Notamacropus eugenii: one gene and its partners. The protein of the gene in region 2 purifies or fractionates together with the protein of the main gene of each other region. This does not show direct contact. Links are inferred from orthologs where the notes say so. Each region holds a gene or a part of one and is shown on either strand. Other genes may lie near its edges. The genes, in order: LATS2, ANAPC1 and ANAPC16.

Region 1 (3,748 bases), on a different chromosome or scaffold from region 2:
GGTAAAAAAGAGAAAGAAATATGTATTGTTTTAGTATCAGTTGAAAACTACTTCAAATTACATGAGGTGGTTTACACTCTATGTCTCTAATGTCCCTACTAGCTCTAAGTTTCTAAGATCCTACTAATTAACCTGAATATTTCCACACCAGTTATTATCTAAGACACAATTTCAAAATTATCTGAGTTTCTGACTTTGACTCTTCTGATTAAGTGCTCAGAGAATTCGTTTCAAAGGAATACACATATATTCATTAAGCAGAATTCTCTATGTAACTGGAGCTAATTAGACCAAATTTTATGAGGTCAACTCAAACTGTCATGTAAATTTAAAAGACCCTTTTCTGAACAGTTCATTTCTGCTGAATTTGGAAGTTCTAATTTAGTGATACATTTGAATTACAATAGGCATTGTGAAACAAGCTAAAAAGGTCGGAAGTAGCTCATTCCTTGTAGCACTCCAAGAATGAATGGTTCTCAAGCAGATGTTAGGGAATCCAACCTGCAGCAGATATTTATCCTAAAATAAAGGCCAAAATCTTCTAGGTACAACCTTTCTGAAAGTAAACAACTATCTACTTTCACCTTTATTTGCTTCACATTACCCACCAATTTCAAAAATTTTACAATTTGCAGACTATTTGAGATCCAAACAGAAATTAGGAACTGAATTCCTGCTTCATTCTGGCTGCCTTAAAAGTATTCACAAAGTTTGCTTTAAAAATAAACAAATTCATGAAAAAATTATTTCTGAAAAGATTTCACTTGAATTTTTACTTATCGTATGTATTGCTGACATTCTCTATTAATATTACCTTCTCTGGCTTAGCGCTGTTCACAAAGCTCAGGTCACCACATATGTTACAAATGAAGACTTTAAGTTTGCCCTAAATGTGTTTCTCTCCTCCTCCATAATGTAACAGCTGCTGTCCTTATCCAAAACCTATTTTATTCACACAATGTAACTCCTAAAGATACATCTTGATGTTTCCTTACAAAGTATCCTGTAGACAGAGCTTTTAATAGCATTAGCTTTCACTTCACCGCAGGGAATATATAGGTGGTATTTACCAGCTCAAGGTCACATGGTGAGTCGGGACTATTTCCTCCTAGGAGGTTACTCTAACCATGCCGTCTCCATACCAACAAGACATACAGATGTAGTTTTATTCTGATACACTATACAGAAAACTTGGGAAGAATCAAACATTAAAAGCTTTCCGGCCAAGTGCTCCAGTCTTCTGCCAATCTGGTCCCATAGGCTGCATTTTTCCCAAAAGGAAAATTGAAATTCCTTGTTTCCAAAGACAGGTAATGTAGATAGGTAATATGCAAACAAACAAAAAAAGTCAAGACAACACAATGAGCACCTTCCTCGGTGGTCCGGGGAAATAAACGCTCCGGGTTAGTGCGAGCGCGTGGCATTAGGAAGTTAAGAAAGTCAAGTCCCAGAAAAGTCAGCTAAACTAGGACACAGGGAAGACATGTTATGCAACTGCCACCAGAACTACCGCGGCGAAAGTATTCCCGAAACTTAAAGAGCTTGTTGGAAACAGCGAGACAAACTTATGAAGGAGAAAGGGAAACTTACAGAGAAAAAAGCCTGGGAGAGAGCCTGGATTGAGCCCCAAGGGTATTGAGGCCTGCGTGGGACATCCCAACCAGTGACGTGCAACTGCCCCTGGGACGGGCCTGGCCCAGCTGAGCCAAACAGAACCGAGTTGTCAAGAGCCCCGGGGCCAGCAGCGCCCCAGCAGAATCAGAGTGTCTAGACTCAAGGGACCTTTTGATGGAAAAGCCCAGTTCAACATCCCCGGGTCCTCTCGCTCTCTCCGCCTCTAAGGAATGAGAGAGGCATCTCCCCCACCCCCGCCCAGGGAGGACACCGTCTCCGGACTCCTCCAGTTGCCAGCTGGGTAGAAAAGGGTAACCCTGCCCCTTCTTCACACACCACAGAAAAGCCATTCCTGGGGACGCACAACAAAGAGGCGCACCCGGAGCTTCACCGCCCGGACAAAGTCCCCGCGGCCCGTGCCCTGCCAACTTGTCCCAAACTTAGTTTGCGCTGCAGTAGAGGCGGCGGGGACGGCGGAGACGGAGTTATGGGCTCTCTGAGCCATCGCTCCACCGGGCGAATTCACCCCCCTCCAGGATGCTCTGGGACCGTCCTCGTCCCGACCCGACCCGACACCGGGTCGGGTGGGTGCTATCTCCCTCCAATGGGAAGTAGCTGGGGCGGACTAGGGGAAAACTTCCCTTCGGTCCCTCTACTCTCCGCCCCAGAGTGGGGGGCCGCCGTTGCCCTTGGCCGGAGCCAGCCCCACGCGGCGGAGCGTCGCGGACGGACGGTCCGGAACCTCCCGCGGCGAAGGTGGGGGACTGGAAGGAGGAGAGGGAGTACCCTGAGCTTGGCAGCCCCCGGACAAACTTTTGATAACTGCAGCCCCCCTCTTACACACTTAGACACACACACACACACACACACACACACACACACAATCACTCCACACCCAGCGCCTACTCACTTCCAGAGACGGGTGGGGTCTAGGAACAGCGGGGGCCGCTGACCAGCGGCGCCTCGGCGGCTTCTCGCGCTGAGCGGCCGGGCACGGGCGGCTCGGGCCGCTGCTGGCCCCGCAGGGAGGTGGGTGCCCCGGGCGGAGGCGGCAGCAGCGTAGGAGTCGCGGGCGGCGGCGGCGGGGGCTGCTGCGGCGGCGGCTGCTCCATCTTCCCCGGGCGCTCACGCCGCTGTTCCAACGCGCAGACCCAAGTGGGACATTCGCTACATTGTTGGCATTCCAAGGGCGTCACGTGACCCCGCCTCCCGCGTCATTCTCCGCCCGCATACCAGCCCGGGCGGGGCTCCTGCAGCCGCCGGAGCCGCCGCTGTGGGTCCGGCCGCTGCTCCTACCTCCTGCGCCCTCCCAGTCCCCCGTCACCCAGCCGGGGCACCGTCTCTGGCCCCGGCCAGTGACGGATTCTCCAGCTTTGGTTGCTGTTATTTCTGCACTTCTGCCCCCGCCCCACAGCTCTCCCTTGGAAAAGTTTGTAGCCCCACAGGCCCGTGCTGCCGCTGGCTTCTTTAAGGATCTCCCTGGGGCTGCCGAGGCGTAGACCCACTGGGCTGGAGGGGAAAGCGAGTCACCAAGCAGCTGGCAGTCATCAGAAACATGGCGCAAGCAAGGGGACCCCTCCTAATTCCTTAAAGGACCCATCGGACCGCGCAAAGAACGAAGGCTGTCTCTTTGCAAACCGAACTTAAGCTCCCTCCAGTCCCACTTGACCTCGTATATTTTGTTTGAACTGCAGTACAGTGCATAAAACAGTGTGTTTTCTGCTGGCAGTATTGAGTGACGTGTGTGTGTGTGTGTGTGTGTGTGTGTGTGTGTGTGTGTGTACTTTGTACAGTGCTGCGTTAGCACTTCGGGGCTGTGTACTTTGTAGCAAACGAAAATGAAGCGATTGTGCAGAGAAGCTGGGAGGGGAGTCAGATCCAGAATCTATTCCTGAATCTTCCATTATGTTTAGTTCAACAAGTTATTTAGCCTCTCTTTAAGAGAGTCCTACCTTAAAACAAGCAACGGAGTATTATGGAGGCTCTTCACGAGTTCGGTCACCGAGTGATGAAGTTTTTGAGCATGGTTAACTTTCAAAGTCTACTGAGTTACAAAGAAGTTGCATTCTGCGTTGTGGAGGTGGGCAAAAACCAATGCCAGTGAAATCATCAGTCCGTGAAATGTAATATTAAC
Region 2 (3,748 bases):
ACCTCCACACGCGCTGGCCGGGGAGACACCTGCCTGCGCATAAAACCTCCCCCCCACAACGAAACTTGAAACAATTGAGGGCAAGGCCCCGGCTCCCCCTACGCGGCGACACGCGCCTTCTCTGCCTCAAGGGGCGAAGCGGGACAGTCTGGGCAGCCTCTGCCCCGAGAGACCCGGTGTCCCCCACCCCCAAAGCCAAGAAAACGGCGGGGCCGCGGCTGTCGGGGTGAAAGGAGTCTGGCGGGAGCGCACAGGAGAGCCCAGGGCACCGGGAGGAAGGGAAAGGCGCCAGGGGAGCATCCAGGCCGGACCCGGCGGAGGCTTGGCCTCGGCACCTTCTGGGGGGCGCGCCCACCTGAGTGACCCAGGAAACGTCGGGCGCTGCCCCTGCTGCTCCCCGGAGACGCGGGGACCGGGGCGAAGACGGGATCGGGCAAGCGGAGCGATGCGTGGCGGTGACTCCTCTGCCGCTACAACTTCTCATGCCCTCCCTCCTCTCCCTCCCGGGCTGCGGAGGAAGCGGTGGCGGTGGCGGGGAAGGCGGGAGGGCGACGCGGTGCCTCTACTGTCGGGAGGGCTGAAGATCTAGCTGGCGGGCGCGCGAGCGGCTCGGGCGAGAGGTTCAAATGGGCGCGGCCATCTTGGATGTCCCGTCATGCCCCGCGCCCAGAAGGGGCGTGGCCCGATGCGGATGCTCCGCCTCGCTTCTTGAGCCCTCTAGATCCGCCTAGGGAGAGGACGAGAGGGAGCCCGCCAGCGAATGAGAGAGAAGGAGGGCGGGGCAAAGCCGGCACACCTGGGCCGCGGGGGCTGAGGCTCCTTGGCGGGCTGCTGGAGTCCTGGTCCTGGTCCCCCGACCCTGAAAGAAAATTATGAAAGCGAAACTCCACCCCGCGCTGGGAAGCAGGGCCGTCACATTTATTGGGGGAGGAGGGAGGGCTTGTGGTTGTTTTCATTTAAATAGTGCTAGCTTAACGCACCGATCTCTTACCTTCTTCTAAGCTCTTAAATCCTTCCTAAACTGCTCCAACTTCACCTTTCCGGGTTTATTGGGTTACCCTCTTTACTGTTCTCGCCCTCTTGGGTCTAACCTTGGCCTCACCCCGACAGCCCCTCTCCTGCCTCCCTGGCACAGGCTGTGTGCCACCCCTCCCCCTTTCAGGGAATGCCCTCCCTCTGCCTCTTAAAATCCCTTCCCCCCATCAGAGTTCAGCAAGAACAGCGTCTTTTCCATAGGGTCTTTCCTGGTCCCCTCCCCCATCCCCTCATTACCTTACTCTTACCCTTATATACTTAATTAGTATATGCTTCTATGTGGACCCATTCTCTCTTCTCCTACAATGTCAGCTTCTGGAGGGTAAGACCTGTTGCACTTATTTCTTTGTCTCCCCAGTGCTGGCTTCCTTCAAGACCCAGTTCAGGGATCACCTTCTGCACTGGGCTGTTGTGCCTCAGCTTGTTGTGTTTGTGCTTAGTTCTGGAAGAGGACCATGACGTCAGGATGATGACATGACTTGCAATTGACTTTGATTGGAGTGAGGGAGGGCTGTGCAGTCACCAACCTCACTCTCTTCTCCTGAGCCACCTGGGTCTAGTGGTCAGATATTCATCAGGATGACTGAAGATGGCCCAGGATGCAATGGGAGACCCTGGCCCTTTCAGATTAAGGTCTTGAAAGAACTAATTCCAGAGATTAAAGAACTAGAAATCAGCCAACTACAAATCAAAGCTTGATTTATTGTTTTGTTGTCTAGACTGTAGAAAATGTTAATCATGGAGAGTAAATTTTAAAGTGTGTCCTGAGTATTTTTTTAAAAGAATTAGCTGTTAAAAACATTTTCCAGTACAGCTTTATTCCTTATATCTGTTATGAACTATTTCAAGCTTTTTGTTTGTTTGTTTTGGGTTTTTTAATTTGTTTTGCTTTTACAAATTACAAAATTTTTTTTACTAATTTTACATTTTTTTTGTTTTTACAAATTGTTTTACAAATTGAAGGTTTGTGGCAACCCTGTATCCAGCAAATCTATTGGTACCACTTTTCTAACAGCATATGCTTATATTGTGTCTCTCTGTCGCATTTTGGTAATTCTCACAATATTTGAAATTTTTTCATTATTGTTAACTGTTCTGGTGATCTGCATTCAGTGATCTTAGATGCTGCCATTGTAATTGTTTTGAGGCACCAAAAATCAGACCCAGATAAATCTTGAAGTGTTGTGTGTATGTGTTTTGACAGCTCCAATGACCTTTCTCCCTTCTCCCTATTCCCTGAGATTGAAGAATATTACATAAACTTAGTTGAGAAAGTAGCAGTTGAAAGGAATGACTCCAGTTTTGAAAGCGGTTCTACTGGGGGTAATATGCTATCAAACAACAGAACATGCTACAGAGAAATCTTCTGTGAAAGGAAAAGTAAATCAATATGGCCAACTTCATTGTTTTAGTTTAAGAAATTGCCACAGCCACCCCACTCTTCAGCAGCCATTAACCTCAAGGCAGGACCCTTCAGCGGCAAAAAGATTATGACTCACTGAAGAGTCAGATGATGGTTAGCGTTTTTTAACAATAAAGTATTTTTAAATTAAGGCATGCATGTTTTTTAGACATAATATTATTGCACACTTAGTACATTAAGGTAAACATAACTTTTATATGCATTGGAAAACCAAAAACCTTGTGTGACTCACTTTATTGTGATATTTGCTTTAAGTTATGGGGAGGGAGGTCTCTGAGGTATACCTATAGAGCTAACAATTCCTAGGAAAGGGTTGACTGGCCACAAAAACTTATAGAATGTGTAGTTCTGCCCTCTGACATAGGGAAGAAAGTCACAAGTTGACAATAGGAGTTTTGGGGCACGGAGCACTAGGAGAATGAGGAGAAAAAGGATAGCCAGCAGCCATTCCATGGCAACAACCAAACTATGGGAACAGTTTCATCTTTGGATGTCTAGACATCTGTAGTTCTATTCTTTAGAATGGAACAATGGGTTTTAAAATGGGGAGTGGGGTTGAGCTACCCTAATATGAGAGATGACATCTAAGTGAACAACCTGAGAGTTGGGTGACTGTGTTATCATAGGGACTTGCCCAGATAGCAAGAGCCCTGAGAGAAACAAGCTAGTTGGGAGAAATGAAAGAATGGGGCCCACCCCACTCTGGTCTTACTTCCACCTAAGTATGTTCCTAAAATTTATTCTGTTAAAAAAGTGAGTTGTCAAAATATATTATTAATCATAAACACATATGGTTGATCTAATTCTGATATTTCCTGCATGTCCCCCTTCCTCCAATCTTTTTTTTTTTTTAATTTTCTCAGCATGAGGATGCAAGGGGAGCAACTCAGGAGAGAGGGACCTTTCCTACTACAAGGCTAGAAACTCAACCCCAACCTATTTTTACAGAGTTTTGCTATCTAACTGGAGGCATAAACAAAACATACTTTATAATTACCTTTTAAGGGCAGAATTACCAAGAATGTAGGTCTGTATCTCCAAGGCAACATTCATAGGACCAAGGGAGATGATGAATATGCCAGCATAATTCTGAATCACAAAGTATAACAGACTCTCCATATAGAAGGCAAAAGAAAAAGATTTATTCAGACACCAGAAAGCCAAATCCATCATAGTAACCAAGAAGTCAATACACATTAGCACTACAGGGGACAAAGCCATTTCCAAGCCTTCCTCCCCATTGCGGCTTTCCCACAAGCAAACACTCACAAGACTGCCTATGTTCTCTCT
Region 3 (3,748 bases), about 370 Mb from region 2:
AATTCTGAGACTCATAAATTTTATATTAGAAAACAACCAAACCTTTCTATAAAGTGTAATGGGATGGGAGAGGCCCTGATGAAACCATAACTTAGAAAAGCATCAACATTTAAACTCAATTTAGAGGGCTTTCTTTCCTCTTGTTAATACTTGAGGGTAAAATGATGCTAATGATCTTAAGTACATGAAGATATTGTCTTTATTAAAAATTGTTTTTTTCTCTTCTTGGCTAGAATGAAATGCTGCCAATTAGACTTACTTATTTCTAAATCTAAATGGAACCTCTTCTGCCCACATGGAAGCTACTGAGCAATTAAATTTTTAATTTGTTTTGAGGCCAAACTCCTTCATTCCACATAACTCATACTAGCATATGGGGTACTGTGCTTAACATAACAGAACACTAGCTCCAAGCTGCCTACAGGGTCAATGGTGCTAACACGTGCATCCTGGTACACAGCTCTTCTTCTCGCTCCAGATCTCTGTAAGACTAGAAGGACAGAAGCCCACATCAGAACTGTTATTAATTACAATCCCGGAACAAATAGAAATTCTGCTGCTTGACATTTAGAGATCTTCATGACCTGGCTCCTTCTCCATGCTCTGACAACCAGCCCCATAAGCTGGTCTTTGTACAGGCATTTTCCCTGGAATTTCCTTCTTCCTCATCTATGCCTCCTCCTCCTCCTGAAGTTTCAGCTAAAATCTCACTTTGTACAATCCTCCTAATTCTAGCATCTTCCCTCGGCTGATCATTTCTGAATTACCCTGCTTATGTCTCATTTGCCTGTCATCTCCCCTGCACTGGACTGTCACTGAGAGCAGGGATCATGTTTTTGCCATTCTTTATATTCTCAGAACTTAGCAGTGCCTGGCACAGAGTAGGGGCTTAGTAAAGACTGTTCACTGGACTATACTGCTAAGTTATCCACTATATTAATAATACAAACCAAGTCTAGAAGTCTTCATGGGCTTCACAGTTAACCCTCCTGCATTTTTCTTTCACAAATTACCTCTCTGCTTCCCCAGGTTAAAAGCACTGATTCCACAAGCAGATTCCTCAAGCGGCAGATTTCACCTTTCTCATGTGTGTAAGCAAAGAGAAATATCCAGATAAGTTTATAAATGTGAATACTGAAGGCTGTAATAGCCAAAAGGATGATGAACTGCTTTGGGAGGGGGAACAACTCTGCACCAGATAATAACCTTACGCATTTGCTTACATTGTGCTTTAAGGTCTACAAAGTACTTTTCTCATACCAACTCTACAGACGTAGCTAGGACAAGCACAATTATCCCCATTTTACATATGGAGAGAATGTGACAAGAAAGGTAGAGTGAATAGCCACACTGCCACTAGGTAGCAGAATCAGAATGGGAATTGAGGTCTTCTGATTCCAAGTTGAGCCCTTTTTTACAGACTATATAAAGCCTGCCTCTCATACATACTAACACTTCCAAGGGTCTGCCAAGGGGCCCAGATGCACTGGTGAGATTAGAAATAGAGAGATAAAGGGCCAATATCCTATATATAAGCAAGAGGTTAGCGGTGATCAGAATGGTTCCCATACCCCCAAGGGATTAGCTCAGTTGGTTACTGCATTATGCGAAAAAGGCTGAGATCCAGGGTTGGTTTTCCCATATGTAGAGTTACCTTTGCTCTTTTCCATGGCCACAGACTGCATCCCTAACCTTGGCCAGCTGTTTTGCAAATGTCTGTTGTTGGTCACAAGGAGGTCTGAATGAGAGAGTGAGGATGGTTCAATGCAAATCCATCTCTACCACTGGAAAAACTCAAAGCACATGCCCTGGCAGTGGAGTTAGTAATGTTAATTTTACATTTAGTCTATTTTAAAATTAAGTTTATATATACATAATTAAGTCTATATTAAGATTATTTTCATCTCCTAGAAACTAGGTAATGGGGTTTATTTTTCTTTAGTATGGTAAGCTAAAAAAAAAAAAAAGATACAACCTGCTAACTAGAGGACAGAGAGTTCCTTGGACATTAGGGACAAAACAGGGAACGTGAAAAAGAGGTTATTCTGTTTTGAGGCTGGTATACTTCTATCTACATTCCTTTTAATAGATACTTTACTATTTTATTATAAATTTGAATCTAATTATTCAGCAAAAAGCAGAGTATGTTCACCTTCTAACATTTCTCCAGCTCCTTTGGGGTAGGTGAAAAGGGCTTTCCGTGGTGGGGCAAGGTCTGAGACACTAAAGCCAGATCCAGTTACAGAACTTCCACTGACCCCTCCAGCTGAGGACGAGGATGAAGAGGCAGCCATTTTCTTTCTAGTCAATGAGAGAAAAAGAAAAAGAAAAACACAACAGCAGTTAGCAGGTTTATGGAAACAGAACCAGACAAGACTGAATTCAGTTCTGGGCAGCAGTCAGATCTCTCACAACCTCCCCATTCCTTATGTCCTGGGTGAAATCCTGACTCTAGTTCGGAAGAGAAAATAAATTTGCTGGTAGTTGGCTTTCTCAAAAATAACAAAAACAACAAACCACCACTACACCAAAAAAACACAACCACCCCCCAAAAAAACTTCCCACCTTTTAAAAAGTATCATTACTGATGTTAAAAGGAAGCTCCAGACAGAAGGTGTGAACAGTTTATAGGCTATAACCCAGGTGCCAAGGCAGGCAGTGCTGATGCAACAATGTGACTGGAGAAGAAACCAAACTATGTCACTGAGACAGCAAGTATGCCAGAAAGAACAATCTGTCCTGGACACACACTTATCACTCTGTGCCAAAACCAAATGTTATCAGAACTTCCAAGTAAACCTTTAGCCTCCCAGGTGAACACTGGGTTTCATTCCTGAGGTGAGGCAATCAGTCTGAAACACAACTTTTCATTTTTTGAGCTTTGCACACATTTAAAGCAAATGTAGTACTCAAAGTCATCACCTGGTGGCGTCTCCAAACTAAAAATACTCCCTAAAATCCATCAATTCAATAGCCTGGTTATGTTTAATATGGCTCCCAATGAGAATTTTCTACTTAAATTCACTACTCACTAACGGTATATGTAAAAAAAATAATTTTTGCTAGGCATATTTCCATAGTGCGTTGCATATAGTTGGTATCTAAATGTTTGCTACTGGAACTGAATTGCATTTAATCTAAATAACCCTGGAGAAAAGGTAGGAAGTTTGCCTATTTTCTGAAAAAGACTGTCTACTTTCTGGTTTTCCACATGAGGAAAAAAAGCCCAACAATCACCTCTGAGATACCATTCTGCTTCCTCACTGCTCTGATGTCCAAAACAAGAAGCCTGGTTTCTGGTTTATATGTGCAAGGGATACTGAGAAAGGTTACAGGTCTGTAGGCTAGGGGCTGTAGAGAAACTGGTACAGCCGGGAGCTCCTTAAAAGTGTCTCAATGGAATTAGCAATCTTACTATACCCTACATCAAAACCCTTCCTTACTTCTCACTAAGTTGATGACAATCAGTCATAAGGAGAAATTCATATGATCCTAAGTTTCAGAGTTTGAAAGAACGTTGAAAAGGAAGGGAAGGAAACCAGCATTTATAAAGTACCTTCTATGTGCACAGTGCTAGGCACCAGGCTAAGTGCTTTTCACAAGTATCTCATCTGGTTCTCACAACAACCCAGCAAAGTAGATACAATTATTACCTCTAGTTCACAGCTGAGGAAACTGAAGCAAACAGAGGTTAAGTGACTTGCCCAGGGTCACCCAGCTACTAGGTGTACTAAGTGTCTGAGGTAGC

Evidence for each region.
Region 1: the proteins of ANAPC1 (region 2) and LATS2 purify together in Homo sapiens (affinity purification with mass spectrometry; 3 studies listed by BioGRID and IntAct, with this or other methods). This does not show direct contact. The link is inferred for Notamacropus eugenii from reciprocal best matches to the Homo sapiens genes ANAPC1 and LATS2.
Region 3: the proteins of ANAPC1 (region 2) and ANAPC16 purify together in Homo sapiens (co-immunoprecipitation; 5 studies listed by BioGRID and IntAct, with this or other methods). This does not show direct contact. The link is inferred for Notamacropus eugenii from reciprocal best matches to the Homo sapiens genes ANAPC1 and ANAPC16.

The regions. Positions count from the first base shown.
Region 1 is NC_092876.1:188,106,447-188,110,194, forward strand, and holds the start of LATS2 (serine/threonine-protein kinase LATS2), read right to left. Parts: upstream 2,809-3,748; 5' UTR 2,525-2,808; intron 1-2,524. UniProt on the Homo sapiens protein: Negative regulator of YAP1 in the Hippo signaling pathway that plays a pivotal role in organ size control and tumor suppression by restricting proliferation and promoting apoptosis.
Region 2 is NC_092872.1:603,643,426-603,647,173, reverse strand, and holds the start of ANAPC1 (anaphase-promoting complex subunit 1), read right to left. Parts: upstream 3,013-3,748; 5' UTR 356-3,012; intron 1-355. UniProt on the Homo sapiens protein: Component of the anaphase promoting complex/cyclosome (APC/C), a cell cycle-regulated E3 ubiquitin ligase that controls progression through mitosis and the G1 phase of the cell cycle.
Region 3 is NC_092872.1:238,074,870-238,078,617, forward strand, and holds the start of ANAPC16 (anaphase-promoting complex subunit 16), read right to left. Parts: upstream 2,656-3,748; 5' UTR 2,583-2,655; coding exon 2,566-2,582; intron 2,302-2,565; coding exon 2,153-2,301; intron 1,739-2,152; coding exon 1,655-1,738; intron 1-1,654. UniProt on the Homo sapiens protein: Component of the anaphase promoting complex/cyclosome (APC/C), a cell cycle-regulated E3 ubiquitin ligase that controls progression through mitosis and the G1 phase of the cell cycle.